Linked DNA regions of Rhinolophus ferrumequinum. The protein of the gene in region 4 interacts with the protein of the main gene of each other region in a biochemical or structural test. Links are inferred from orthologs where the notes say so. Each region holds a gene or a part of one and is shown on either strand. Other genes may lie near its edges. The genes, in order: LGALS8, MAP2K7, RAB8A and LRRK2.

Region 1 (7,978 bases), on a different chromosome or scaffold from region 4:
CTCTTCACAGCAAAACTTCTTGAAATATTTAGTCGTTACTTCTACCACTTCACCTCTCATTTCTCAAGCCACTTCAGAGTCTGTCACAAATGACCTCAGTGTCGCTAAATCCTTCTGCTTCTTGACCTCTCAGCAGCATTTGGTACAATTGGCTGTTCTTCTTTCTTAAGTCTTTGTTTCTCTGGCTTTTATGACAGCACTCTCGTCACGTCTCCATGGCTGCCCCTTCTCAGTCTGTTTTATCGGTTTTTCTCGACTTCTCTCCCCAGGGCTCTGTCCTAGGTCACCTTCTCCATCTAGCTACTCTCCTAGGTGACCTCATCAAATGACTTCAACTCAGACCATTTTCTCCTCACCTACTATACCTTAGCCATGGTGCTCGCCTCTCTGTTCCTGAGGACACCAAGTCTTCTCAGGAGACTTAGATTGTGTTAGTTGTTCCCTCAGCCTGGAATGTTCTTCCCCAAGATCTTCATTGTCTTCCTCCTTTCTTTCATTCACCAGCAACTTAAACTTCACCTCTTTGGAGAGGTTCTCTCTGGCATCCAACTAAAGTAGCCACCCAAATGCTTCCAGTTACATCATCCAATTTTAATCTTTTCCAAACACATCACTGTCTGTCTGTATCTCCCACTGGAATGTAAGTTCCATTGAAGCAAGAACAGTCGAAACTCCCTGCCTTCGTGGAGCTTATACTTGAGTGGGTGAAGTCAAATAAAACAAAAAGTGGATTATATAGCATATTAAAATATGAGAAGTACTTGAGAAAAATAAAGCAAAGAAGAGTGGGGACTGTGAGTACGTATGTGTTTCAGGAGGGTGCTTGCAATTTTAAATATGGTGGTCAGGAAGCGCCTCACTGAGAGATGATATTTGGGGAGACTTCAAGGAGGCAAAGGAAACATCAAATGCAAAGGTTCTGGGGTGGGAGTGTGACAATATGTCCTAAGAATACCAAGGCCAGTGTGGCTGCTGCAGAATAAGGGACGCAATAGGAAACGACGTCCGAGTGTGCGGGGTGGGGGGCAGACCATGGAAGTCTTCTTGTAAGAACTTGGATCCTTCCTCAGAGAATGAACAAAAGCTAGCAGAAGGCTTTAGAGGAGGAGTAGCTGTGTGGATTAGGCTTTGTTATGGTGTCTCTAGCTGCCGATTGAGACTAGATTGCAGGGGGGCAAGGGCAAAAACACGGAGACCAATTAGGGGGCCATTGCAATACTCCAAGGAAGAGATGTGGGCCTTCCAAATATTTAGGTCTCTTTTCTGCATTTAAAAGGGTTCCGTGAGGGGCAAGTACAGTGGTCCCCCCTTATCCACGATTTCACTTTCCAGTTTCAGTTACCTGCTGTCAACTGCAGTCCAAAAATATTAAATGGAACAATTCCCGAAATAGACAATTCATAAATTTTAAATTGTGTGACATCGTGAGGAGCATGATGAAATTGCATGTTGTCTCACCTCTTTGTCTCTACCAGTCACTTAGTAGCCTTATCGGTTAACAGATGGAGTGGCTGGTGATAGCTGGGTTTGTGTTCAAGACACTCTAATTTTACTCACATAACTTTTATTACAGCATATGGTTATACTTGTTCTATTTTATTGTTGTTGGTCTCTTACTGTGCCTGGTTTATAAACTTCATTATAGGTATGTGTGTACTGGTAAAACATTGTATACTACATAGGGTTTGGCAGCGTTTGATGTTTCGGGCGTCTACGTCCCCATCTATGGCGGCACGTACCCCCCACGGGTAAGGGGGTGCTGCGGTACCACAAAGCCATTTGTATACTTGCGTTATCGCTGTACCTCGTCATGGAGGGCATTCAGTACGTATTTGATTTTAAACGATACAAAAAACATACTGAACTCACTGAACAAAATAGGGACCAATGTGGGGGTTATTTCTAAGAATAAATTCTTGGGATTTGTAATGCATCTTTTAATTCGGTATTACTTCACCAACACTGGATTTTTTGTCCCTTTGACTCAGTTCCATTTTCACTTAAATCTCACCTACCAAAGAAGTAGAATGTAGATGTGTATTCGAGAGGTACTAAGCCCAGCCTTGCCTAAACCAGCTTTGCCTGGGCTTAGTACCTAATACACATTCAATCGCTGCTCACCTCACCAACATCCTATTTCAACCTAATATTTCCAGTGTCTACTTCGTGCAAAGCATTAGTAGGCATCGGGGAATATTATGCGACAAGTTCCTCTTCTGCTTACAGTGGAGCTGTACCGATACAACACCGTGCACCGAAAGGCGAGTCCTAGTCCAGGGGAGTGTGTGTCACGGGTTAAACGGAGCCATTTAAATTGGATCCTGGAGTCGCTCAAACTTGGAAAATGAGTAGGGGGGAGAGAGAAAAGGAACAGTGCATCAGACTGTGAGTTCACTGGTACGGGATGTGTAATGAATTCCTTAAATAGAGAATAACAGAAACAATTAAGCCAGAGGAGAAAAACCCACCGCAGTGGCACCGAGACGCGTCTTTCAAAGCAAACGCGGCTAAAAGTCGAGGAGAGACAAGTAGGAACACGGGCACTTCGTGTTCCCGAACAGGAACCGCGCCGCACGCAGCCAACCGGCCACGGTGACCTGTTTGCACTGTTCTCGGACGTTCTTACAGCAACAGGTTGAACTAGCAGTGGGTGGGGGCCCTTGGCGGAGACCTCGGGTGTTTACAGAACACCTACCGCTCAGACTCGGGCTCGTGTACAACACGAAACCCCCCACAAAAGATGGGTGAGGAATGCGCAGCGGCTGCTAGTCCCAGGCGGACTAAACGGACGCGTCCCTGGGCCGGCCACAGTCCGACTGCACTGAAGCCAGGTCCCCACCATTTCACTGACACCCAGGAGGGGCCCAAAGGGGGCGCCTCCAATCAGGTTCCCTGACCGTACAGCCCGGACTCTGATCCCAGGCAGACAAGGGAGCAAGTCTGAGAAACACCGGCGACCTGGGCAACCAGGGAAGGCCAGAGACGGGCCTGTGGTCCAGGCAGGGCCTAAGCGCCCGCCTTCGGAGACCGGAGGCCCACGACAGGGGACCGCGGGGACACGCTGGCTGAGGGGCGGAAGGCTTTCTCCGTTTTTCCCAACCCTTTCCATTCGCCTCACCCAGACGAAAAGGCAGAGGCAGCCAGATCCGCCCAAGGATTTTCTTAAACAGACTCTGCCTCGTCCAGGTCAACCCGCACCGCGCTGGCTGCGATCCGAGACCCCACAGGCCGTGTGGGAGGCCGGGCGTGGTGGCGGCCGCGGCGCAGCGGGGGCGGGGCCAATGGCGACACCCGGAGCGCGAACCCGTAAATGGCGGCGGACTGACTGCTCTCACGTTCCGTAGCCGCGCACGGGCGCTGGGCCGGGAATTGGACGGCGCGCCGCAGTGGACAAATAGCCTCGGCGTGAGCGCCTGCGTTGCTGGCCCAGGTGAGTCCGCGGCGGTGGTGGGAGCGCCCGCCTGGGAGAGGGTTCGGTCGTCGCTGTCCCAAATCAGTGATGGGGGTGGGTCCATCTCCCGTCAGCCCGCCGCCTGTGGCGCGGGGGTCCCGGCCTGTTCGCCGCTTCATCTCCCTCCAGTCGAGGCCGGCGATCTGGGGAGGCTTCCACTCTGGCCATTTAAATGACAGGGTCTTAAGTTTAGCGACAGACCCCGCAGCTCTTCCGGTTCGCTCTGAGGGCGCCCTGTGAGAGGCCGAGTCACTGGACTCCCTGTTAAACGTTAGGAAACGCAGGTTATCCGAATTGCACTGTTGGTTACAACGTAACGAAGGCTTCCTGCGAGGTGGTTGATGTCCGGGACCGCGGGGCCTGTCCCTGTGGACACTCGGGGAACGACAGGCTCCTGAAGCCTGGGGCTTAAACCGGGCCCCTGGTGACCGTGTGCACTGAGTGTGGCTCTGGGTTCTCTGCGGCCTTTCCTTTGGGTCTCGTTCGTACTTATGTTGTACTAACGTGTAATTGAAGACACAGGTCGGCGTTGCATTAGGTGCTAAACTAAGAGGGATGCGGCGTTCTCTTACTCGGGACAGAGTGATGGCTCCGGTCCGCGCGTGCAGCGGGGCAGAGTCCTGACAGCGGGCGGAAGTAGCGCAGGAAGCTTAAGTTGTGTTTTTGTTTTCGTTCTCAAGCTATCCAGTCTTCTGGGGCGCTGCTCAGTGTACCGATAGGCACTTTTTAAAGAATGAAAGTATAGTGGAATACAACGTCGTGTTAGTTTCAGGTGTGCAGCGCAGAGACTCCACACCTATGTACCTTACGAAGTGATCACCGCGGTAGGTCTAATTACCATCTGCCATCGTACAGTTCGTACGATATCATTGACTGTATTTTCTATGCTGTATGTTACATCCTCGTGACTTACTTATTTTATAACTAGGAGTTTCTCTTTAAAACTGGCTGATGCTCCCCCTCCCTTTTTTTATTTTAGCCGCAGAGAAAACTGTATATTCAAGAGATTGGATTCTTTTCCCTTTGACTAGTTTAATTTGGAAGAGGAAGAGCACTCTCTTGTATTAATAATAATAGCTAAAACTTATCTATTTCATTGTTTTATTAACTCATTTAATCCTCAGCACAAACCTGTGAGATGAGTAGTAGTAGTATTCTCATTTTATACATGAGAAAAGTTAAATGAATGTCTCTGATAATTGTACAGCAGTGTTTGCTATTATTTTATTTTAGTATTTTTATTTTTTGTTTTAATATTTTAAATAAGTTCCGTGTTAGAAATTTTCTACTGATGTAATATTTAAATCAATATTTCCTTCACTATTATGCCAAATTATTTAGTATATAAGTACACTAGGGAAGATTTGGGGTCAGATCTTTCATTGTAATAGCATCTTGTCATTTGGTAAATATCAGTGAGATAATTTATAATTTAAATTTTAAAATAGTTATGATATAAAGAAAAATGATGCATTTTGTTTCCCTCTGTTTTGATTTTACACAGGACAAGTGCCTGTTTCAGTCTGGGAAGCTTTTAAACGAAACGTGATTAAAATCTTAGGTCATACACAGAAGAGAGACCCCAGTCAACAATAAGGTGGAAAAGAAGAATGTTGTCCTTAAACAACCTACAGAATGTCACCTATAACCCGGTAACATTTCTATGAAATCACTTTTTACCTGTTGCAGGATTGAGAGCAAATCCAGTTGGAAAGTAATTATCTATTGCTGGGAGTGGAGGGGCAAGAATAAAATTCAAAACATATGTAAAGCACCCACTGTGTGATAGGGACTGTGGTGGGTACTTACTAGAAAACACGGAGCCCTTGGAGCTCAGTCTAGTGGAAGACCAGGTCACAGTTACAAAGACAAGGTGATGAGAACTGTGTTTTGAGCAGAGAACGTGGGAGAACAGTGGAGGGAACGCCAACTTGGGTGGTGGTGAGAAGGTGCAGATAATGATAAGACATGATTTAAAAAAGAAAATAGATTTCTTCCTCTATAGGTGTTTAATTTTCTTTTTTAATTAGACCTGTCCATGGCTCAATTTTTCCCTCTGCCTTTCAAATACCTCATGGTACTCAAGCAGAGAAACTCGTGGTGAGATGGAAAACGAGAAAAATTACAGGTCTTGTCCTGGCTTCAGGCTGGTCCACAAACCCCTGAGTGACTGGTTGCTGGAGATTTCAGACTTGTTTCAATTTCCACGTATCTGGAGCTGAGTCCAGAATTTAGGTCTGAGGTGGAGTTGCTGCTTTTTTTTGGTAAACACTCCAGGAGACTGTTGGACAATAGGGAGGGTGAGAGTCCTTGAAGCAAGACCCTAAACCAGTCTTACTAGTGTAAATGGGTTCAATTTTTTTTATTATTTGCTTTGTGGCTGTAACTCTTTTTTTCCCCTATATTTTAATGTCATTGCAGAAGAATAAACTACGACCACCATATCAAGCAAACTCAGTTTTAGAGGAAATAGCCTTCAGTAGTAATAGGTTTAAAAAGGATGACTTGCTGAATCTGAAATCAGAGACATTTAAAATGATTTTGTGTGTCCTAGAGTTCAAAACATCTCTAGGTTGTAGACTGACTTTCTGCAGAGGTTAAAAAAATATAGGCTGCCTGCCAAGGGTGACTGAGTTGTCCCTGAGCTTGGCTCGGGTGGAGGAGGGATGGATGGCTGGGATACACCCTCCAGTTCTGCTCTGCATGCACAAAGAGGCCTTATTCCCATAAGAAATGGGAATGTTACTTAGAAAATAATTTTCTGGATTAAAATCTCTGCATGTCTTGACACTAGCATAGTGATGGTTCCTGTGATTTCTGGGGTTAGCCCCCTAAGCTGCAGAGGTGAAACAAAGGTAGGATGATGTGTGTTTCCTGGTGAATGGGACCTGGAGGATTAGCGCCGCTGCTCTCCAGAGAGCGCAGGTCCCAGGGCTCCCGGACGGCATTATTGCTCTCAGGGCAGTTCAGGAGCACAGGTCAAAGGAAATAGTTGTTTTGGCAAATAGCTTTTTTCCCCCTTCTCTGTTTTATAGTCAGTTCTTAGAAGCAGAAGAGGATAGAGGTAGAAAGACTGAACTGAATGGCAAAAATAACATTTTGATCTGTCTTTAATTTCACTTATTGTTAAATATTCATAGCATTGAGTGCCTATGTCGCACTGAAGCTCTTCTGCCATGTGTAGCGAGTTGCCCTTCCAGTGTTCAAAAGACAATGGGGAAAAAAGGAGGCTACATATAACTTGAATATTTTATCAATTAGGATATTGTGCAAGCTAGACTTAAAAACAACTGTTTTCTTGCATTATGGTTATTTTGTCAGTGATCAAACAATGGGGAGGTATTTATTGAGTTGCTACTATATTCTTTATTAAGCATTATGAAGAAACAGAACTGTCACTTAATTTTATTTCTTAATGTTTTTAAAGTTTTTGGTCATATTGGTGATAGACAAAGTCACATTCTGTCCATATGAACTCTTCTTGGAAAAGATAAAAGTAAATTGTATAACTAGCCTATGTACTTTTTTCGTATTTAATATATTTCATTGACTATTCAACTGAGAATTCTAAACCTTAAAATAGTCAGGCTCACTTTTCTTTCCATTTAAATTCAGTGAATAATTTGGAACACAATATCTTCATACCAGAAATGCCCTCTGTGAAATATATTGCTTGACAACTATCTACCTAAATATTTTAGGTGGATAGATAAATATTGTTGTTTATAGAGTTCTTAAGATGTGATTATTAGCTGGTTAAGAAGTTATTTAGAACTTGAACAAATTGGTTGTTACTCCAAGTTAATAAACCAGCTGTTAACATTAATCCCACCCAGTGCTGAAAAACTTATGCCAATTTTCTTAGGGACCTTGCTTCCTTTCTTCTTAGTATTCTAAGTACCTCCCTTGCAATTTAATCTTAAAACACAAAACAATAAAATCTTCCTTTTTAACCTCTGAGGTTCCTTACAGCCTTTGTTCGCTTGTTGTTCTTTGGCTGAACACCTTCCTGAGAGTGAATCGGTATCAGCTGCCTTGATTTTCTCACCACAGCTCTGCCCTCTGATTCTTTTTCCTTTTTCTTAAGTTTTCTTGTCTTTACCAATTTTTTCTTTCCTTCTCTCTTTCATGTCTTTACTGATCACCTTTAGACCTTTCAAATATGTTTACAATCTGAATACAGTTCTGGCCGTTCACCTCTCCAGCTCTCAGATGCCCTGCCAACCCTTTAGGACTATGAGTTCAAAACAAAACTTGCGTCTTCCTTCCCCGAACGGGCTTCCCTTTTGCAGTTTCCATTTCTGTCAGGGTCATGGTACTTCTGCCTTTAGCTTGGCAGCTCCTCCCAGGCTACCAAGCCCTCAAGAGTCTGAAGATAATCTCTCTTCAAAATTTAAAATTCATTTAGGTCAAACCCAGTGGTTTTTCATTTTTTATTTTTTAAATATAAAGATAATATATGTAAATCATTTTTAAAAAAATTCAAAGTATTTAAGGATTTCATTAAAACAAATTTTTTTTCTACCC
Region 2 (7,552 bases), on a different chromosome or scaffold from region 4:
ATGAGAGAAAACAAGAGGACATGGGGGCTGTCAGGAGCCACAGCTGTACCAGGCTGTCAGTCAGCAGGGGTGTGCGCACACACACACACACACACACACACACACACAGGCATGGCACTAACCCCCATACACATGCAGATGGGCAGATAATAGACCACGGAGCCCCCAACACCATCTTACACACACACACACACACACACACACACACACTTACACACATTCAACTGCCTAATATCCCACTTACACACAAGGACCAACAGGACCAGACAGACCCCAGCCCGGTCTCTCACACACCACCGACCCAATGCATGGGCACACCCCACATACATCCACTCCAGCCAGACCCGCTGGCACCTGTACTCAGGCCTTGGCAGGGCTGTGCACATGCTCCCCGCCCCTCCCACAAGACACTGCTCAAACCCCACCTTCTCCAGAGGCTTCCCCCAACAGTCCCCCTACAGAACCCCCAAGCCTGCTCTCCTCTGCTTTCCCCAGTACTTGTCGCCTTCTCCAGTTCTCCCCAGTCAGGAGGCGCTCACTATTCTCACCCCTTCAACTCCTAGTGGGGCATCAGCTGCACAGCGGGACTTGGTCGGTTCTGTTCACTGCTGTATCCCGAGCCTAAAACAGGTACAGCACCCAGGGGCCAAGACGTGTCCCCTGAATTACTGAAATGGATAAACAGGCACAGCCAACATGCTGGCCCCCCTTTCTCTCCCTCTTACTTCTACACACTCACGCACGCACACACACGCACATGCATGACCCCCTCACAGGTGACAGACTCCCAGTCAATGAGGGAGCCCAGGTCCTCCACCAGGGGGTCCAAACCTGCACCCAAGAGACAGAGAGGAGAGAGGACACAGGAAGAGGCCAGGTGGGCCTGATGTTGACCGTAGGGAAAGAGAAAGTGAGGGAGTGAGAGGGACAGTGAGTGAGGAGATGCGCACGCACGCAGGGGCGCTCACACACACAGAGCACGGGGGGAGGGGGATGGCATTCTGCGGCTAGGGCAGCGGTTAGGTCAACGGTGCAGATGTCCAAGCGGCGATGATAAAAAGGCTGGTACCTGCTCGTTGGGACGGGGCAGGAGCAGGGCTTAGAGTGATCACAATAACTGGATGGGGAAAAGGAAGAAAAAAAACAACACCACGATAAATCACAACAGAAACAACCGATTTGTCCAAAAGAAAAGAAATCAAATCATAACGAGGAGGAGGGGGGAGGCACGAGGCACCAAACTGCAGAGATGGGTGGAAACCGACAGATGGGAGGACCGGCAGGAGGGGATGGAGCTGACGCTGACACACACAGATGCCTGCAGGGGGCTCCTCGGGGGCCTGCCCGCCTTGGGTCTTGCCGTGCCTTGCTCTGCACCTGGGACAGCCACCCCTGTAGGCACCCGACGCCCCGTACCCAGCGCTGTCTTGTCCATCCTGGAGCTTAGTAGAAACCCTCCAGTCCTGGCTGGGTTCCTACCCCAGGGAGTGTCCAACGCCAGCATTACCGCCTTGGGGCTTTCTCTGGGCCCCCAAAAGACCCCTCAGTGAGGCACCCACACTGACCCACGTCAGAAGAGAGATGGGGAGTGGACCCTACACACAAGACGGCGGCGGGGGCGAGGAAAGGCTGTGAAGGTCAGGCCAGGTGAGTAGGGGGTGGTTGGGGAGTACCCAGATACAGGGATGTCTTCCCCTCCTGTCAGGATGACCCCACAGGAGCTACGTAAGTGTCATGGGGGTGCTGTTCTTCAAGTCTGTGGGCAGCGGGAAATCTGATGCCCTCCAGCTGAGAGGAGTTGGGTTCTATGGGACATAACAAGGATCCTACATGTGGTCATGGTGATCCCAGGGGGGACAGCTCTTGATTCCAGATGACAAGATGACAGGAAGGTAGGTGCTGAGATGGTGGAATTAGAGGGGAGGCGTATGTGTGCTGGGATGCTAGATACCACCATATGGGCCTCAGGTGTCCCCAGGCTGGGTGGGTAGGGGTATGTGGGGAAAAGGAAGTCACTTGAGCCCAAACGACAAAGTCTCCAGGTTGGGGGCTGAGTGTGTGTTTTTGAGGGGCCAGACACATTCACCAAGATGGTGGCAGTGAAACTGATCAGGGAGTGAAGGGGACCTGGTACATGTATGTGAGTAGAATGTGTGCGGGAGGGGGGCTGCTGGGCTCAAAGACAAGAGCCCACGACGGAGAAGGGATCACCAGACACAGTCACAAGGAGTGGGAGAATCGTCTTGGTCAGAGGGATAAGGGGGGTTACGTGTGCTCAAGTGACCTGAGGTGTCCCCCGGACAAGTGTGAGTGAACCATCCCTTGAACCCGGATGACAAGGACCCAGGCGTGGAGTGGGGGTAGGTAGGGGCCTCTTGACACAGTCACCGAGATAACGGGAGCGGAACCATCTGGTCAAAAGGGATGTGTATGTGCTTGCGGAGGACGTGGATTTGGTCACGGCCGATTGGATTGGGTAGGGGGAGCACGGCTCACAATAGGTGACAGAGACTCCGAGGATCACGATGATGGGGGCGGGTCATCAGGTGGGGTCCTCGCCTGGAGCCAGGTAACTAGGTTCCCAGGCTCCGTCAGGGGGAATCACCCAGGCCGGGTGAGAGCCGCCCGGGAGCTTGCCAGCACCCCGCCCCCCGGGTTGCCGTGACCCTCGCGCCGCGAGACGACAGCGGGGAGGGGGGAACGGACCGGAGAAGCAAGAGCGTCCCGGAAGCGGGGGCGGGGCCTGGCGGCGGGGGCGGGGCTTCCCGCGGCGAGCGCCCCGCCCCACCCGCCCCCTCCCCCATGCCGCCGTGCTTACTGGGCCTGGGCCGCTGGGGGCTGATATCCAGGTTGAGGTCGATCCTCCGCCGGGCCTCGCGGTTCTCTTGCTTCAGCTTTGCTTCCAGGCGGGACAGCTTCTGCTCCAGGGAGGACGCCGCCATCTTCCCCGCCGCCGCCGCCGCCGCCGCCGCGCACCGCCCGGCCGACCGTCAGCCCGGCAGACAAACACCGCACTGCGCCTGCGCCCGGATGACCCCGCCGAGCCGCCGTTTCGCCCCGCACCGCGCATGCCCGTGTTGCGCACCCGCCCTTCCCTCGTGCGAACCCCCGCGCGTGCGTCCCTCGTCCCAGCCCGAGGGATGACACCACCTAGAGTTAGTGGCTGGCAACGTGCAACGTCTCCGCCGTGATGCGCACGCGCGAGTTTCCCGAACTCAGTGGTGAACGGCGCTGTGTGGAAACTACAATCACCGTTCTGCAGAGAGCGGTGGGCGGGGAAAGGCGGGCACGCTTAGAGGAGAGGAGGTCTCGCGCGTGGCGTCTGCTGCGCACGCGCATGCCCGGCGGCTCGTGCTTGGGGACTTGGGGAGGTTGGTCGCCTCAGCCTTCTTTTTGCTCTTCCTGACTGGCCCTTTTTTGGCACCCACGCCCTCTCAGAACTGCCTTTCTCGCCTGGGACATGGTCCATTAGGATCTCTGTTATGCTTAATTGTTGCCTCCTCACCGTAATTAGGCACCCTTGCCATTTCAGCAAGCTCAGGGTTAGCCAAGGACAAGTGAGAGAGGCGGGGTAGGTCTAGAGCTACTGTCCACCGGCATGACCTCTGACCTCGGCGACCGGGACCAACGTCAGTGCTGGAGAGTTCCAGGTCAGACTGGCGTGGGACAGTGTCAGGCTTTCCCTGTCTGCCCTGCCCCCAGAATGTGAACCCAGCTCCTGGACAATGCAAAAGACTGGCCCTGGGGTTCGGCGGCTCTGCCTGGTGTCCCTGTAGCCTAAATATTCCTTTGGTCTGAAGGGTGCTGGGGAAATGTCCCCATCTGGAATCCTGGGTCCATGGAGAGCAGCTTGCCTCTGCTCTTGGGTGCCAGGCGGAAGATTGCATCCTGCAGATACCTTGGAGGGGGCCAGGCCCAGGTCAGGTTCAGGCAGGCTGTGCCTAGTGCCCTGCCCACTCCTGGTCCAGCCGAGGGGATCCCTCTGATGAAGACTTATGGGGGGAGCAGATACAAAAGTATGGAATCAGGAGGATAACACGGAAAGTAGAAGAAAAGGGGTTCCCCAGGGAAAACCTAGGCAGAAGACGCCACCTCATTTTTCCTGATTAGCCGAGGGCGCCTCCTTACCCCCTTCTCCGCCTCTGACCCAGGACAGAGACTCATACCCTTGACTGTGGCACATGTCACCACTTGCCTGGAAGTGGTCTGGTGAAACGGAAAGCTTAGTGACAGGCGTGGACACGAGATCGGAATGATGGTTCTCATCATTAGGACTGTTTATTAAGCACCCACTGACACATGCTTCCTCACACAGGGAACATTCCAGAGACAAAGTCCCTGCCTGTCCTCAGAGCAGTGTACCCTCCACAGCCGGTGTTCTTAACTTGGTGTCTGCCGGCCTTAGGACATCCGTCAGTAGCCCTCTGGGGGAGCTGGGGGAATCTGTTGACGACCTGAAGTTGTAGGCAGAATTGTGCATGAATGTGTACACGAGCATTTTCCTGAAGAAGGAGGTGCCCAGCTTTCATCAGATTCTCGAAGGGCCTAGGGACCTAAAAAGGGTTCAGAATCCCTGCTATATATATCCAGATATCTCCCAACATACAGGCCTAGGACCACCTTCGTCAGAATGAGCTGGAATGTTTATTTACAGGCAAATTCCTGGCCTCCAGCCAAAGCTTCTGAGTCAGTCTTTCAGGGGTGGGGCCTGGGGTGTTTGTTTTGGAAATGTTGATTTTGATGCATAGCCAACTAAGAGGCCCATGTTTCTGAGTTCACGTGTCCATGGGAATCAACTTATAAATAAGGGATTAACATCCAAGTGAGGGCAGTGTGCACTGGCCCCTTGTGTCTGTATCCCCTCCTTGGGGCAGGGAAGGATTGAAATTTTACTGGGATGTGTCTTCACCCCTTTTGTTGTACTGATTGAACTAGAATGTCCAGGGGAAGGGCAGCAGTCTGGCCCAGGGCTGGGGGCAGGCCAGCCAGCCAAAGACAGGTGTGGTTTTGGTCTGTGAATTCCATGACTTAGTTAATCCCTCCATGACATTCTACCCCAAATCCACAGACTCCCGTCTCCCCAGACAAACCAGTCCCAGGATCTTGCCTGGGCCCCACAGACTGACATGTCTGCTCCTCTCCTGGCCTGGGCCCACCTGGCCACCTCCCTTGAAGACATTGGTAGATTTGGGGACAGAAATACCCAGAAGGCCTCTACCGCAACATGCCCCTCCCTGGCTTTACTCCTCTTCCATCTTCTCCCGAACCTCTGCTGGCAAGCCTTCATAAAGAGTGTCCTCCACCAGGAGGCCCGCCTTCTTGAGCCCCCTACAGTTGCCCAGTTCTTCCGGCAGTATCTCCAACCGGTTGCCATTGAGCTCCAGGCGGCTGAGGGCACTGAGGGCCCCCACCTGAGGTGACAGATATCTCAGGTGGTTATAGCCCAGGAGCAACGTCCGCAGCTTGCCACAGAAGAAGAGCTCGTCGGGCAGGTCCTCCAGAGCATTGTAGGAGAGAGCCAGGTGCTGCAGGTTCTGAAGGAGACCCAGCTCCGGTGGCAGGGAGTGCAGCCCGTTGTGGGAGACATCCAACAGGCGGAGGCCAGAGCACATGCCCAGCTGGGTGGGCAGGGTCTCCAGCTTGTTGTGGCTGAGGTAGAGCTGCTCGAGGACCCGGAGCTTACGCACGTGCTCGGGGACATAGGCAATCTGGTTGTGCCATAGCCTGAGCGTGACCAGCTTGCGACAGTGCTGGAAGCTGAGGATCTCCTCAATGGACCGCAGGTGGTTGTCCTTGAGGTCAAGTTCCTGCAGCGCACCCAGGCTGAAGACAGCGTGAGGGATGCGCTCCAGCCCACAGGCCACCAGCTCCAGCTCCCGCAGCACCGCCAGCTTCTTGAGGCTGTTCAGTGCCAGCAGGCGGGCCCCGTCATTGTGCAGGCTAAGACGCTGCAGGTGGCCGGCCACGTCGGTCACACTGGCTGGGACCTTGCCAGCATTGCTCCGCAGAGACAGCACCTTGAGCTGCTTCAGCTCACGGAGGCTCTCGAGAGTGGCCGCCCGAGCCAGCTCTGGAGGAAAGAGCCCCTCAAGGTGCAGCTCCTCCAGGCCACGCAGTCCGAACACCCAGAGGGGCACCTCACGGAGCTCCTCGCACTTGACACGGATGACCTTCAAGCGGTCCCGCAGGAAGATCTGTGAGGAGAAGGGCAGCCTGGCGGGTGAGTGGAGCAGGCTGAGCTCCTGCAGGTGCACCAGCTGCGACAGGCCCGGAGGGAATGTGATATCACTGATGGCCTCCAGCCGGAGCGCCTCCACCTCGCTGAGCTCGAAGACGGTGTCAGGCAGTCCTGGAAGCATGCAGAGGGCCAGCTCCAGCCGGCCCTTGGCGTTGCGCTGCAGCTTCTGCCGAAGCTTCTCGGGCGTCCACTCGTGGTTGAGGTTGAGCTGCTTCAGACGGCTCTCGCTGACCTCAGAGAGGAAGACGGCAAAGCGCTTGGAGTAGAGCGGGTCGTACTGGTCGATGAGGTGCAGCATGAAGGCAAAGTCGTTCTTGACATCGGGGATGTCACCCATGCCAGTCTCCTCCCGCACGGAACGGAAGGAGTACTCCTTGAGGGGCCGGTGGAAAAGCCAGTAGAGCGTATAGAGGCAGGTGACCCCGTATACACACACGAATGAGATGTAGCAGAAAGCCAGCTTGGAGAAGAGGTGGGCCTTGGTGTGGTTGCAGCAGAAGCTGGCATAGCCCGTGAACCTGGAGGTCTCCACCGTGCAGGTCACCACGAAGCTGATCTTCTCCACATAGATGAGGTTGTAGACCAGGATGGCAACGAACTTGCAGACTTTGAGCACCATCTGCCGGATGTACATGGTGTATAAAATGTCCCCCTCTTCCACATGCACACGGAACTTCTTGACCTTCTCAAACAGGGCTTTGGCCTGCTCGCCCTCCTTCTTGTCCAACAGAGTGACGGCTGGTGGCTCAGTCACCACCTTCTCAGGCTCTGCCAGCACCTTTTCCTTCTCACCCTCCCCTGCCTTCCCTGGCCCTGCCTGGGCTTCCATGGTTGCTGTTGCTCGTCCAGCAGCATGGCCCTTACGGTTCTCCCCGGAGACCTCGGAAAGGGCCCGTGTGGTCCACGGTGAGTCGAAACATTTGCCTAGGATGGAGGTGAAGTGCTCGATCTTGGAGCTGGTGCCAGGGAACTTGAACCAGAAGCTGGTGCAGACCATGAAGATGAGTGTGTGAATGACAACCAGGTAGGGGAAGTACTTGGGGTACCAGTGGAGGGCCTCCTCGTAGCAGAGCTGGTTAATGAAGCTGTACTGCTGTAGGTCCAGGTTGTTCCTGAGGCCGTTCACCTCCTGGAGACCCCCCATGTGCTCGGAGACCCCCTGCAGCAGCAGCTGCTGACACGGGGCCTCGGACAAGTTCTCCCGGGATTCATGACTGGGCAGACAGATGATCTTGTCCTGTGTCACCTGGGAGTGGGGGGATTGGGAGAGAAGTAGGCTGAGGTGGAAAGCCCCAATCTGACTGGCCCCCGCTA
Region 3 (7,962 bases), on a different chromosome or scaffold from region 4:
TTTGCGTTTACCTGGGGTCTGACTACATTGCTATGGACACAGACACGGTAACACAATTACACCTGGGATTTCAACAGCCATTCCCAGAAGCACCAAAGGAAAGATGGGTTACAGGATTGTATTTTCCTCCCCAAAGCTCAGGGACTAATTAGCTGGCACTAAGGGGAAACTGTATTAAGTCACCCATATCTAGGACTGAAATCTTATGTTTGTATAGCACTTCATAAGTCCTGAAGCATTTCTCATTTCTCATAATAGCCCCCATACCACACATTGGTATTGTTATCTCCATTTGACAGATGAGGAAACTGAGACCTAGAAAGGTTCAATGGCTTACTTCAGCAGCACAGCTGGGGCTTAAATCTAGGTGTTCTGTCTCTAAAACCAGTATTGCCAGATTTAGCATATTAAAATACAGGACGCCTGGTTAAATTTGAATTTCAGATAGGCACTGAATAATTTTTTGGCTTATCTCATACAGCATTTGGGATATATCTACCATACTAAAATTTTATTTATCTGAAATTCAAATTTAATGAACACCCTGTATTTTATCCTGCTATCCTATCTGACTCCCAAATTTTGTACTTGATCTCTAGTATTCCATCGTGTTCTTTTATAATTAAGATGCAAAGTACTTTCTCTGCTATGATTTGCTCTGGCAGTGAGGAGTTTAGAAAACCTTTTTGCCCTTTAACAAATGTGCTTATTAATTTATTTTTCTCCCACTCTTTTATTTAATTCTCACCAGAAAAACTTGCCCAGGCCAAAGAAGAGAATGTGGGCTTACATCAGACACTGGATCAGACACTAAATGAACTTAATTGTATATAACCAAAACAGAAGAGTTGTTCCAACAGAAGCTCCAGACCTCCGTGTCTTTCTCTTCTCTTGTAAGAAGTTTCCTTTGTTACTGCATCTGCGCTTTGCTGGAAATGTCAAGCAAATTATGAATACGTGACCAAATATTTTGTATCAGAGAAGCTTTGAGCACCAGTTAAATCTAATTCCTTCCTTTTTTTTTTTTTCCCAAATGGCACCAGCTTTTTCAGCTCTATTTTTATCCTTAAATTGCATTTATCACTAAGGTAGGCAGGGTGTTTCCTATTGAACATAGTCTCTTAAGACTGAGGGCATTTGGTTCCCAGGAGATTAGACAATACCACACTTTCAAAACACAGAGTCCAATATCTAGTCACTGGTCAATTTAAAAGGCTGAAGAATAGAACCTCTGAGCCACCAGTGGACACACTACAGGAGGCCGGGGACCATCACATGAAAATGGGTGGGGGTTTTCCTTCCAGAGCAAAAAGGGGGCGGTGCTGTTGTGGGAAGTCATAAACCACAGATAGATTAACCTACTCACCCTGGCTTTTTTCCACATTCTACCATGCAGAACAAACATCTTCTGAGCAGTCAGCATGAGAATGCTGGGGAAATAGTCATAATACTCTGATAAGAAGCCATCCACTCAGCAGGAATGAATATGGTAGAATTTAGTACTGTTCATGGGACTATATCAAAAAGACTAGTCACCATCAATAATTTAGCAAAAGCATTTTTCTATTAATAAATATTGGTCAGAAAAGGCCTCTCTGGCAGCAGAGATAAAGTAACTGGCCTAACTTCATCTCTTCTGTACTTTAGGGAATGGTACATTGAAGATTTACGTGTCTAAGATTTTAATTCCTTCTTCAGGACCAAGTTAATAAAAGACCAGGAAACTCCTGATTAAACTGGATATGGAGTATTTTGTAGACAGGGCTGCACATGTTAGCTTTGTTACATTCTCGCTTTCTCGGTTAACATCTCAGAGCTGAAACATTCCATATTCCCCAGCAGTGGGGGGGGCCAGTTTACAATTCTGACTAAAAACCACCCTGCTTCTAGCTTATCCGACTCCTCTGCCCCTCACTCCTATTTATTACACATCACACTACCCAGGAGATACACTAGCAAATTGTGCAATTGAATAGAACCCACACTTTTCATTTAGATTCTTGCAGCTGTATCATATGTAATACGTAGTATCACTTTTTCTACATTTTGGTCAAATAAATTTTTACATAAACTATAATTTGTGTGACTTTTAGAATGCGTCGAGACATAGAAGGCATTTTGGTTCATTGAATGCATGGGATGCGGAGATAACTGCCACAAACTTAGCAAATTTTATTTATTGGCTGTATACCACAACTTCATGATGTGAGGATTGTGATCTCTTTATTACAGGTGAGAACACTTTGCCTCAGTAACTCAAAAGCTCCTGTCCTTTGTTATTCCCCAGTCCTGCTGAGCCAGGCTGTGAAGAATGAGGAAGGTTTTAATAGATGAGATAGGAGCAGGAAAGATGGTCCCTGTTGCTTGAGTCAGGAAAGCATAGGCCTGCCTGGGTACGGTCTTCTGTGTGTTGAGTATATAAAGGAAAGAAATCCACATTGATAAGAACCTTAATTTGGTCAGGAGTAGAAAGCCCCTGACATTAGGAAAACCCACTTAGCATTCATTTTCAGGAAGGGCTCTTAATAGAATGGAGGGAAACTAGTGGCAGGAAAACCAGTGAGGAAGATGTTTCCATTAATCCAGGGAAGCGTTGGCCGTGAAATCAGAAGGAAGAAGTGATCTGCAAGAAGTAATCTTACGATTTAGCTGACTGAATGGTACAGAACTTAAAAGTGTCAAAGGTGACTGCAGTTTCACTACCTGACTTGCTTTGGTATTTGCCTCAAGATCTGATATTGGGACAGGCGGGTAGGGAATCAAAAAGAGAAATGAAAGCCTTGAAAACACTGATGCAGTATGCAAACAATTTTTTGTTACCAAGTACAACTGAAAACATTTCCTGCTATTCAACACTTAGCTGACACTGAGCTCGTTTAGATGGTAGTTGAGAATGTCAAACAAGTGCCTTACCATCATTACTAAGGTGAAGTTCTTTCTCCCTCCTACCCACCCCCTTGGGCTGTAATCTAATCTCAGGAAATTGTGTTAGTCATCCTTGTGGCCCGGCAATTAACACAAATATTCAGTGTTTATTCAACTGCCCTGTCTCCGCTCTTTTGGAGTTCCCAGGCCCATGAAGTGTGGGTGGAACAGCAGATGAGGTTAGGACTAGGTTGTGAGGACTTTATCCTGCCCGTAGACCATGGATGGACATTGGGTAAGTGCTTTAGAATGGGCACACTGCAGGGTGGAATCTGGATTAGAGAATGATCGGGGAAACCAATGGAGAGAGGTGATGATCTCATGGGTGATGGAAATAGAAAAGCAAGATCCAAGAGCTATTTAGAACCTCCTTCAGAACCAGGATGTGAGGGATGAAAGAAAAGGCTCAAAGACAACTTATTTCAGTAAGAAGGTAATTCGGGACAAGCTAAGTGTGAGTAGAAGACAGTCGAGCTCAGTTGTGGACATGATGAATTTGAAGTATCTTTGACAAATCCAAAGGCAGATATCAAGAAAGTTAGACATTGAGGGATGGCTGGGCGGGCGATGGATTCTCTAAGAAGTGAAAATCACCAGTGTGGTTTCACTAGAAGCCACAGGAAGTAAGATCACTCAGAAAGTGGGAACAGATAGGAAGAACCGTGAGGAACATGGACATCTAGGGGACAATCAGTAACCCCCGCCACCCCCAAAGACTGCAAGGGAATCTGAGAAGCAGCAGCCAGAGAAAGGGAGGTGGACGTAGCTGGTAAACAGGCAATTAAAATGGAGGAGTGCCAAGAAAAGGAATTGCCAGAGGTGTTCAATAGCATCAAATACGGGGGGCAGGGGTGGGGGTGTGGGGGAGGGGGTCGGTAAAGCCTACAAGGTGTCCATGGCTCTGGACGAAGCTTTTTGGAAACATTAATAGAATGAGCTGAAATGCAAGGTCGGGGCGCCCTGGGGCCATCTCGGAAGATCCTCCGGCTCTGATGGCCCACAATGAGGGTTTGGCCCATCTCTGAGAAGCAGGAAACCCTAGTGATCAAGAACTTGGCCTCTGAAGCTTCCCGGTCTGAATTCAAAACCCAACTTCCCACTTCGGGGTCCGAGAAAGTCACTTAGCCTCTGTGGCCTCGGTTTTCTCACCATAAAACGTGGTTAAACAGCAATACCTACCCCACAGGGGGTTGGGGTGGCGATGAAATATTTTGGTATTAAGTGTTGACACCACTGGTGGACACAGAACCAGTGTTCCTCAATATACCTGTAATTCTCATTCTAAATCCCTCGGCGGGTTCTGGACCTCCGAGGGCTGACTGGGTTGGGGTGGGCAGGCTCCAGGGGAAGAACTGAAGGCAAAAAGCGGTCTGGACAACCTCTAATTAGGGCCGAGGGCATGTCGTGAGTTGTCCTAGCGCGCTCAGGTGGCGAAGGCCTGGGGATCTCTGAATAGGTCCCCTGGCCAGAGCTGGGATCCCGGAGCACGTCTCGGGGGCCCTCGCTTCGACTGTGACGATCTCTCTTCAATCCTTTCCTCTTCGGCTTATCCAGGCCTGACGTGGAGGCCCCAGAAAACACCGCCAAAACCATCGCACTTTCCCCCTCTCGCCCTAGCGCCTACTGAGCCTGTGCGGGCCGAGAGGGCGGGAGCCAGAGACCAACCCCACGAGCGTGCGCCCTCTGCTGGCGCCTAACGGTCTCCCCGGCGCGCGTGCGCACGAGCCCCAGGCCCCGCCCCCAGGCTGCGGGCGCGCGGAACCGTTGGTGCCGCTCCCCGCGCTTCCCCGCCCCTCGGGGGCGGGACGGGGCCTCCCAGAGTCGGTGAAAGAAGGCGGGGACCCGGGATGCCACGCCCCCTATCCTGGTCTTCATTTGAAGCCCCTCGACTCCTCACCGCTGGCCAATCGTAGCCCGCCCTGTCCCGAGCGTCGGCCAATGAGCGGCGCTCTCGGGCCTCTTCCGGCTCCGGGCCCCGCTCGCCCCTTCCCCAGATCTCCCCGCGATGGGCGGAGCACTGTGGCGGGCGTCGGCCGCGGTGACGCGCGGCGGGCCGGGAGCCAATGGGAGGTGGGCTGGGCGCTGATGGACGGGGCCAGCGGCCAGTGGCGAGGCGCTGGCTGCACTTCCCGTCGGGGAGAGAGTGTAATATGGCGAAGACCTACGATTACCTGTTCAAGCTGCTGCTGATCGGGGACTCGGGGGTGGGGAAGACCTGTGTCCTGTTCCGCTTCTCCGAGGACGCTTTCAACTCCACTTTCATCTCCACCATAGGTAGCGGGGCTGGGGAGCGGCCGGGGTCTCCGGAGGCCCGGGCTGGGCGCGCCCCTGAGGGGCAGGGGCTGAGGGAGGGGCCGAGCCGGACGGACCCAGGGGTCTGAGGGGGTCGAGGGGGTCCTTGGGGAGAAGAGCAGCCGCCTCCGCTAGCGTTCGGGCGTTCCCGGGCCATGTGGGGGAAACCAAGTGCCCATTTTGCAGATGAGGAGACTGAGGCCCCGATCCTCAGCCCCCTGTTAAGTGAGTGTATGTCCTGGGCTGGGGTCTTGGCGTCTGTCATTTTGTTCTGTCCTTACAGCAGCCCTTAAAGTAGTTCTTTTGGGGTCCCCGTCTTGCAGAAGTGAAACTGAGGCATGGGGAGTTGGCCGTGGGTAAAGACCCCTGACATCTGACTTTATTGAGAATGTACTGTGTGCCAGGCACTGTATGTGCATTATCACACTCTCCAGTTCTCTATATTAGGTCTGTTGTGAGCCCATCTCACAGATGGTGAATTTGAAGGTCAGGGAGGCGTGGGACTTATCTAAGGTCATACAGTCTTCAGGTGACAGCGATGGGATTTGAATCCATATGTGCCTGACCCCAAAACTCAAGGCTCAGCCATCCCAGAGAGTGGGAGCACAGGACAAGCACAGCTGATCCACCTTGGAGCCAGGACTCTAACCTAGACCTGTCCTGTTCTTTCTTCAGGAATAATCAGGGGTTAAGTCTCTAATCCCTGACCCTATGTCCCCCATAGGTGAATTTCCTCTAGAAGGAGTGGTGAGAGGGAGTCCAGAGCCTTTCCCTGCTCTGCCTCCCATCCCACTCAAGGGTCACAGCATTGGCAGGTGACAGCTGCCTTCCCTGGGACCTGTCATCCCCAAGGAGATGCCTGATAAAAAGCTTCAGTGAGAAACCGAAATCAGCCACTGCCACTGACAGCCCAGACTTCCCTATCATGAGGCCCAGGACACCGGTTGTCACTTTGCAGAACAGCCTTTCCCACAAAGCCAGCCCACATTGTGGTTGAACAGAATTGGCTTGTTGCTTTTCAGTTCTGACGGCCACAAAAATGGATCTGACTTCTCCTCATGCCACACAAACAGCTATTGCCCACGTGAAAAGGTTTGACCTGGGAGAGTAATACTGATCTATACAGCCTTGCTCCGCAGTGGAGAAGCTGGAAACGGTTGCCAAGCCCAGGAGTTGATTCTGAATGGAGAAACTCTAGGGAACAGGCTCTGCCTTACCCCAGTGTAACCTGAACCCAATGAACTCATCTCCTGAACCCCACGATGAAATGCTGATTGCCCTCCTTCAGGAGCTGCATTTTGCAAAACAATCAGGTGCCAGGTGCAAAGTAAAGAAAATTGTTCTGCTTGATTTCCAGCTGCTGTTCACCCTTGAACAATCACTTCACCTTTCTGAGCCTTGTTTCTTTAGTTTAGGAGTAGTGCTCTGTGCAGAGCCCTAGGTGGTGGAGGATCAGAACTGTACAATGAATAGAAGGTTGTCTGCCAGGGTCCGTCCAGAGGAAGCAGAGTGACTCCTGTAGTGATAGCGTCCCTCCCTGGGGCACAGGTGTTTCTGATTCTTCCCCTCCCCCGCTCCAAGCTTGAACCTTGGGATAACCCTTGAACCCCCACCAATCACTTAACACCTGGCAGGCTGTGGGTCACTCAACAGAGATCTCACTTTCCCAGTGTCAGGATCTTCCTGTTCAGCACAAGCACTACTGCGGTCAGTGCAAGGGTGGGTTTTTGTTTGGTTTCTGATTCTTGACCAGAAAGTCCAGGCTGGCATGCTAGGGCTCTGAGGAGGCTGGCCTCCACTTACAGAGGAGGCCATGACTTGGGCAAGGTCACCTAGGTAGGTGGAGGTGGCACTTGAACCCAGGATCCCTCCCACCCACTCTGTATTGGTTTCATGAAACTTTCCTGCAGGCCTCTGTCTTCTAGGAAAGTTTAATTCACCCTGACCTTGAAGTTACGGCCTCATAACTCTTAGGTCTCATAAAGTTTACACGTCCTAATTAAATTTGGTGTGTTAATAAAACCCGGGAGGAGGATAGGGCCGAGTGACGTGGGGCTCTGCCAACTGAATGGTGCTTCTTGATTTCATAGGTGCCTTGCATCTGTGATGAGATGGGAGGTGTTCTAGGAAGAGATGACCTGGGCCACTTAGTTTTGAAAGACAACCTAATGCATAAAGGGGAGTCTCTGTTGGCACTCAGTATACCTCTGGGTTTTCTTTATAGATCAGGGATTAAGTGGCTCTTCATTTTCTGCCCAGGTTATGTTTGCCAAAGTCTGTTTTTGTAAGCTCCATTGATTGTGTGTGGTGTGAACTTGGCCCTGTGGCTCCAGGAGTTGGTTCTCCCCAGCCTGGCTTGGCCCTCACTACCTCCTCAGGACCTCATTCATTCATTCCTTCAGGGAGACGGATGATGTTGGTAAAAGTGCTTTTTAAACCATGCAGCGCCACGTAGGTCCCGTTTCTCTTAATTCTTTCATTCAACCATCTTTCTGTGATGTCCGCTGTGTGCCTTGGTACGGGGGCTGCAGAGATGACTCGGATGAATCAGGGAGAAGCAGAACTGTAACAAGGCCTGTAGTCAAGGTGTGTGTGCAGGATGAGGCAGTTGGCTTCCAGAAAATAGGTATTCAGCCCCTGCCACGCTTAGTCACTGGATATGTGGCCATAAAACTTTTTGAGTCCCTGTTCTCATGTAGCTTATGGCCTAGTGGGCACAATTCAAGTGCAGGCTTATATTCTTTG
Region 4 (7,343 bases):
AAAATAAACAAACCGAACAGAAACAAACTCATACATATGGATAACATTTTGATGGTTGTCAGATGGGAAGGGGCTGAAAAGGGTGGATGAAAAAGGTGAAGGGATTAAGAAGTACAAATTGGTAGTTACAAAATAGTCATGGGGATATAAAGTAAAGCATAGAGAATATAGTCAATAATATGGTTATAACTATGTATAGTGCCAGGTGGGTACTAGACCAGTCACTTAAATTATATAAATGTCTAACCACTATATTGTACGCCTGAAATTAATATAAAATAGTACTGAATGTCAATTATAATTGAAAAATTTAAAAAAGGGAATAAAATGTTGAAGGGAGTAAGAGGTCCAAATTTCTAAGTATAAAACAAATAAGTCATGGGGATGTAATGTGCAGCATAGGGAATGTAGTCAATAATATTGTGATTGTATGGCATAGTATCATGTGGTGGTTGGACTTATTATAGTGATCACTTCTTTAGGTATGTAACTGTTGAATAACTATGGTGTACATCTGAAACTAATATAATATTGTGTGTTAGCTATATTTTAATAAAGATCTTTTTAAAAAGCTTAAGAATGGGTATTCTAAGAGGAAAAAGGAACTATGGAGGCAGGTTTATTTTAAAGATCGTAGGACAAAATTCAGAGGTGAAGTGTTTCTGAGAACAGCACAGTATATGTCATGTAGATTGTCCTTTAACCTGAGGCATAAAACAAGAAGACTGCAGAAAACAGGTTAATAAAAGCTAAAATCACTATCTCAGTACCATCATTTTGGGGGCAGTTATTGCATACAGAGGGCATCAACAACTTTGGTGTCAGCAGAATTTGGCCACAATAAAAGGACCGGCCTGCTGCTTGGGAGGGACTGGAGGTGGTCTCTCTGGTTTAGGCAGCAATGCCTTCAGTCATTTAGTCAGCAGTAGTCACCTTGCTTTTGCTGTGGCAGAAACATGGGCAATCCCCCATTCACAAATATTTATTGACTATCTGCATGAATTCACAAGTTGTCGAAACTCTAAGGATAAAGTAGTGAGAAAAACTTATGGAGTATCATGGGGCTGATAATCTAATCAATGCAGAGCAGAAAAAAAATAAAGCTAGTTTCTACTCGGTAGCCAAAGAATACTTTGGGGGGTAGGGAGAGAGGAAGCACATGTGATATACATCCTGGGAACTTCAGGCATGTTTGGAAGAACATGAGGGCCTGACGTTGGCCCAGAGCAGGAGCTGACAGCTCCTGAGAACTGCTGTGTTGGCTGTGAGTCTCCATGGATCCCCAGTCTGGTGTGGCCAACAAAATGTGGATTGCATTTTATGATGTGCAAATTAACTGTGTAGGAATCCATGTGTAGTTCTCAGTTTTTAGAACAAGACTTCTCATGTTGTTGTTTTTAAGTCATGAGTTAAAGAGACTCTTATCTGAAGTTTCATTATGCTCTTAACCAAAGCAAATTCTAGTAACCACTGCAATTGATCTGGGCCTCAGACTTGCCACATCGTTGGGTGCTTTCTCTTTCTGTCTCCACAAAGTGATGCCTTTACATGGCCCAGTCCTTCCTGATGAGAATTGTCTGAGTGATACAGTTATGTGTTTGAATCTCAGCTCCGACTCTTAGGTAATTTATAACTTCTCTAACACTATTTCTTGAAAAATAGGAATAATAGCTGCCTCTTAGGGTTGTTGAGGTTAAACAAATTATACATGTAAAATGTCTTGCATAAAGTAGGATTCTGAGGTGCTCACTAAATTTTGTCTCCTTTTATTTCCTGTGTACCCACCTAACTGTGGCAAGAAATCCTTCCTGCTCTACATAATCATTGCTGAATGCTGAGGAAAACGGCTTTACGTTCACCCAGGATGTTTACATAATGCACTTGAGTGAGAAGTATGAAGAAGTAACACACACTGGAGAAGCGCAGTCACTCTCTCATGGTTAGTTCTACATTTGAAAGCTATGGTTTTTCCCTTTCCTTCTTTTTTTTTCCGCTATAGCAAAGTGCACAGGGCATTCTGTTTCCTCATACCAAACTATTAATCTATATATGTTCTTTTAAAAGTTATTTTCATTTAACTTTTTAATCCATCTGGAATTTGTTTTGGTGTCTGCTGTAATTATCAATGTCCATTTTACTTTTTTCTTCTCAGGAAGTTGGCCAAATGTTCCGACACCATTTTATTCTCCACTGAACACTACCTCTATCATGAATTTGTGCTTGTTAGCCTTCCTTTTCAGTCATGTTAATTATCTGAAGAGTTAATAAGTCTTGGATTTTAGTTAATCAATTAAGCATTTGTGAAAGCTAAAAGGGTACTTTGCCCTACCTCTGCAGTCCTGTGGGAGAATACTCCCAGCAGGGAATTCATGTTCCCACATCGCCGACCGCTATTCTGGCTAACATAGAGTAGGCAATAACTAGGCAATAGATGGAGGAAGGAATTGAGGAAAAGAAGACACACCTTTTTATTTAGTTTTCTTGGGAAGGAAGCTAGGTTTTGATATTTTGCAAGATAATAATCCAGTAGACTGGGAAGGAGAAACTGATGCAGGGGAATGGGAAGGAAAGCATGAAATGGAGAATCCTTAGGAATGCTTGAGATACTGATTGGTTTAGTCCGAAGTTGAAACATGTTCAGAAACCAGTTAGGAAAGGACATACTGCAGGTATGATAAAGATGACAAAGTTGAGAGTTTTTTGTTTTGTTTTCATTATGGGAAATCTTACACAGAAGAAATAGTACTATAGACCACATGAAGTCATTGCGTGTCTTTGACAATCATCAATTCGAAAGTTGGTATTGTCTCATCTCTACGTCCTCCCATTTCACACTGTTCCCCACCACTGGATTCCTTTGAAGCAAATCCTAACCATTCTGTCATTCCAACTGCAAATATTTCAGCATTTGTCTATAAAAGACAAAAAGTCTTTATGACAACAAAGCACATTCACAACATTCAGGTTGAATTTGAATCTGCAATTTTACTAATCTAGTGTATTAAGGAAGCCTAGCTCATCTTGATTAAAATGGTAAAGTGCAAAGATCCTATAACTGGGCTTTAGGAGACCTACCTGGGTTTAAGTGATGGCCCTCAACTTCCTATCGGTGAGTCCAACAACGCTCTTCTCTTATCAGCTCTAAATCTCAATTTCCCTGTTAGTAAAAGAAGGATAAGTGGCTGTCTTATCCATTTCAGAATTGTCCTCAGGATGAGGTAACAGAATTGAAAACAAACCATTCAAAATTGTGAAATATTAAAACTTTCAGTTCAGTCCTCTCCTTTGTCAATGACGCCCAGCACAAATCATCTAAAGGCAGTAGATGGTCTTTGTTTAGCCTTGTCTCCAGTGTTTCCTGGTAGATTTCTCTTTGTGAAAAACACATTACTTTGGTACTGTTTTTTGTTTTTTTAACGTTAGGTTTATAGATGCTCATAATCATAAGTAATTTTGAATGCCAAGAGAACAATGCCTTGATTGCTGTCTTTCACCTTTTCTGGTTTCACCTTTTCCTTTCAATTTACCCTGTGTTTCTCTTGTGCCCCAATTATCAGGATCCTACTGAGTGCAAACTCAAATTTTCAAAAGTTTATTTGGTGGCCTTTTGGCCAACAGAGCTTCAGATAATTAATAAAGAAAAAAAATTATTTCCTCCTTTACAAACGGCCACAACAATCATAGAAAAGTATTTAGATAGCCGTACTTTGATTACAAAAATCTCTTTCCATCCTTGAGGGGAAATTACTCATCTCCCCATAGGGGGAACTCTATAAAGAGAATGTTTTCCAAAAAGGGGCCAACTGGGCGGTGTCCTCTTTTCCCAACGCCCAGATTTCTATTCTTAGATCTGGAGATAGGAGGCGGCTTTCATTTTTCCTCTTCCTAGTTTCCAGACCTTCTGCGGGACTGAGGGCGCTCAGGCCGGCGGCTCGCAGCGGGTGACCGGCTAGGTTGCAGATTGCACTCCTCCTCCAGCCGCTGCTGGGCTCCGGGCCTGGGGAGTCCGCCGAGTCCCCTGAGTCGGTTTCTTCTTGCACGATTCCCGGCCGGACCGCCCCGGCGGGTGGGATCCGGTCTGTCGGGGCCCGCCCGGGGATCACGGTCACGGTCACCTCGGCCAGGCCCCGCTCAAGCTGCGTCCCTGCTGCCCGCTAAGGTTCTGCACAGCGCCTTGCCCTGGCGAGCCTCTCTCAGGCCCCTGAGCTCATTTTTTGGGCCTGGGTTGGGCAAGAGGAAGCAGAGGAGGAGGGCTCAGGGCTGGCAGGACAGCGCCGGGTGGGGAGCCGCCGCCTTCCTCATAAACAGGCGGGCGTGGGTGCGGATGGGGCGGGCGGGTAGCACGGGCTGCCGGCTGTGAGCCGTGCTCTCCTCGGGAGCAGTGACCCGCGCCGCTGCCCCTTCCCTGAGCAGACGGCCTTGGTGCGGGAGGGGCGGCCTGTTGGGAGCAGGGTCCATCATGGCCAGTGGCAGCTGTCAGGGGTGCGAGGAGGAGGACGAAGAAACTTTGAAGAAGTTGATAGTCAGGCTGAACAATGTCCAGGAAGGAAAACAGATAGAGACACTGGTCCAAATTCTGGAGGACATGCTGCTGTTCACCTACGCTGACCACGGTAATCATTTGCGAGGAAACTGTTCCTTTATTACACTCCCTCCCCCCGCCTCTTTTGCAAACTGTCTCCCCTACACTTTGCGCAAACGTGGACCCTTGGGAAGCCACAAACTCTACTCCTTAGGGCAAAAAGGAGCTGAGAATTCTCGGAAGGTATTGCGCTCACTTCTTTTGCTCTCTCCCCCTTTTTCATACTTAACGGGTGCTGTGAACCGTGACTTGGCTTCTTTTCCCCCACCCCCTTCTTTTCCAGCCTCCAAGTTATTTCAAGGCAAAAATATCCACGTGCCTCTGCTGTTCGTCTTGGACTCGTATATGAGGGTGGCTAGTGTGCAGCAGGTAAAGGAGTTGTTTTCATTTCTCCCATTTCCCCTTTTCTTTGGAAATACTTTTATGTCAATGTTATATGCCCAGAGCTCTGGGTTAGTTCTGAGATTTGGCTTGACATATCAATGACTGTGATTTTAAGATGGAAGCGTTGTCAAATCATTGTCAAAAGATAACTGGTGTAAAAGGGTCCACTGTGTGCTCCCTAATTGTCTTTAAGAAGTAACTTTATACAATTGACTGAATATGGATGGTGGTAAGGGGAATAATAATGGAGTGAAGTTGAGTTCTGTTATTGGCTACTTAAGTTCATCAGTGTTTAACTCAAATTGTTCTAAGAATCTTCCGAATGTACAGCATGCCCTAGAGATGACACCATTGTGAATAGTTTGCGAAAGGGGAATAATTAACAGTAATAAAATTAATAATCAATGAATAAAATGAAGTAACTTACAAACTTTCATAGGGTTAGGTTTTTTTTTTTAATTTGAAGATAGATTCTAGCCTTCTTTAGTTGTAGTATATCTTGTATTAGCTAAAGAAAGTGATTTATGATTCCCCTATAAGTCGATATTTTCAACCTTTTTCATATCATGTGAATCTAGAAGTGAAACTTAGAGTCTTCACCACAGGAAACCCATAAATTTGCTAAATACATTCGATATATCGAAAAAGGAGGCCTAACAAGATAATTAAGGATGATTTACAGTCAAAACAGCATTACTGCCTAACGTGTTAACTTCTTTTGTAGGTTTTGAGATTTAGAGAACTGAAATCAGTTTTGTCATTTGTCTGTAAGGTCCTGAAGGGAAAGATAATTGAACTTTGAACTCCACTGAGGTGCAGTCAGAAAGCCAATGTTTTAATACCTACTAGACAGATGTAAGAGTTATTTGGATCTCTAAATCTGTGTCTATCTACCTTTACCTTTATGATTATCTCTGTATCAGCTGTGTCTAATCTGGGTGAACCATATACTTAGCCTGTTTTATATGAGGATATTTATATCTGGGATAAATGGTTACTTTTATTTTTTTCAACTGAAGTATTTCCCATCTGACTTGATTTTCCGGTTGTTAGCATACAAAACCGAAAAGATGGAAGCATGATAAAGACACTGTCCTTTTTAGCACCCAAAGTCTGAATTTTGCCCATGAAATATGAGTCACTTTTTAGCACTGGTCCACTGTGCTTTCCATCCACATCGTCCCTGCTTACTTGCCTCGGGTGTTCAAAAGTCCTTGTCTGACAGCATCCTTGGATTCTATGCTTGGTAGAGTCACCCCTGCTGGGTGCCACTCAGAACAATTGGACCCTGAGTGGGCTTTGATCTGCAGGATCCAAAGAGGGCAGTGCTAGATGTCAGAACCCAAGGAGCTTGGAACATACTCACCACCTAATTCTTCATTTTCAGAACTGTGCAAGCTTGGGCATGTTTGTCTGGAGTAGTTATGAATATCACTCAATATCCTTGCCCAGGGGTTACCAGAGACAAAGTATGGAAGAAACTAAGGACTTGTCTTCTGATTTAGTCATTTAATGGAATAGAATTATTCGTTTCAGCACCATATGTGTATTAGTTTGCCAAGGGCATTATGTATGTTACATCATTTCATTCTCACTGGAATCTCACTGACCTGTCAGAAATCTCACTGTATATTTTTTCCTCAGAGTAAGTAGCTCATTTAGAATCACAGAGCTACTGATAGAGCCAGCACATACGTTCAAAATTTCTTTCCATCTTACAATCCACTACCTGCTGAATTCACATGCTTTTCGTGAAAGTAAAAACACAGTGGTTTGGTACCAATATTGTGGTTATGCTAGGTACAGTGACATTATCAATTTTAATTATCATTGGTCTTATCAAAGGGCTGTACAGATGGGTCTCTCACTGATATTTTAATACTTCACTTAAAAGAAAGTGTTTTTTTTCCTTCAAATTTCTTCATATTACTGGTGTAATTAATATAGATATCCTTTTGTTCTTTACATGTTGAATTAGCTGAAAGTGTTAAATGAAAGACTCGTAATCGAAAGTAAATATTAAGGTTTGTTTCCAGAATTCACTTAACATGATAGTCCAGACTCTGAATTTTTATTTTCAAGGTCTTTTCATATTTTATTCATGCTCCTTAATAAATGACAATCTTTAGAGGTTGGTAGTTAGGCTAGCTGTCCTAATACTTTGTTTTTTTCCTTCCAGTCATCTGACCATTTCTCTGTGCTCTTCAATTTTACATTACTTCTTTTTACCCACACAGTTCAACCTTTGAAGGGAGTGAAATAAATGAAGGTGACTAAATTTTTCTTTAATCCCTACACTCTATCCCATTGTGCATTAATTAGATCCTTGAGTTTACAGACTAATTATAATATAATAAAGTGAAACTACCAATTTAAC

What was found.
Region 1: the proteins of LRRK2 (region 4) and LGALS8 form a complex in vitro, tested with the Homo sapiens proteins (2 studies listed by BioGRID and IntAct, with this or other methods). The link is inferred for Rhinolophus ferrumequinum from reciprocal best matches to the Homo sapiens genes LRRK2 and LGALS8.
Region 2: of the proteins of LRRK2 (region 4) and MAP2K7, one has a biochemical effect on the other in vitro, tested with the Homo sapiens proteins (2 studies listed by BioGRID). The link is inferred for Rhinolophus ferrumequinum from reciprocal best matches to the Homo sapiens genes LRRK2 and MAP2K7.
Region 3: of the proteins of LRRK2 (region 4) and RAB8A, one has a biochemical effect on the other in vitro, tested with the Homo sapiens proteins (2 studies listed by IntAct). The link is inferred for Rhinolophus ferrumequinum from reciprocal best matches to the Homo sapiens genes LRRK2 and RAB8A.

Annotation. Positions count from the first base shown.
Region 1 is NC_046310.1:21,961,407-21,969,384, reverse strand, and holds the start of LGALS8 (galectin-8), read left to right. Parts: upstream 1-4,964; 5' UTR 4,965-5,061; coding exon 5,062-5,103; intron 5,104-7,978.
Region 2 is NC_046301.1:56,872,731-56,880,282, reverse strand, and holds the start of MAP2K7 (dual specificity mitogen-activated protein kinase kinase 7), read right to left. Parts: upstream 3,017-7,552; 5' UTR 2,943-3,016; coding exon 2,819-2,942; intron 1,118-2,818; coding exon 1,070-1,117; intron 1-1,069. Other genes in the region: volume-regulated anion channel subunit LRRC8E, read right to left, coding at 5,241-7,484. UniProt on the Homo sapiens protein: Dual specificity protein kinase which acts as an essential component of the MAP kinase signal transduction pathway. Essential component of the stress-activated protein kinase/c-Jun N-terminal kinase (SAP/JNK) signaling pathway.
Region 3 is NC_046301.1:49,741,600-49,749,561, forward strand, and holds the start of RAB8A (ras-related protein Rab-8A), read left to right. Parts: upstream 1-4,951; 5' UTR 4,952-4,988; coding exon 4,989-5,199; intron 5,200-7,962. Other genes in the region: TPM4 (tropomyosin alpha-4 chain), read left to right, coding at 752-834. UniProt on the Homo sapiens protein: The small GTPases Rab are key regulators of intracellular membrane trafficking, from the formation of transport vesicles to their fusion with membranes.
Region 4 is NC_046293.1:43,684,025-43,691,367, forward strand, and holds the start of LRRK2 (leucine-rich repeat serine/threonine-protein kinase 2), read left to right. Parts: upstream 1-4,326; 5' UTR 4,327-4,459; coding exon 4,460-4,613; intron 4,614-4,865; coding exon 4,866-4,951; intron 4,952-7,343. UniProt on the Homo sapiens protein: Serine/threonine-protein kinase which phosphorylates a broad range of proteins involved in multiple processes such as neuronal plasticity, innate immunity, autophagy, and vesicle trafficking.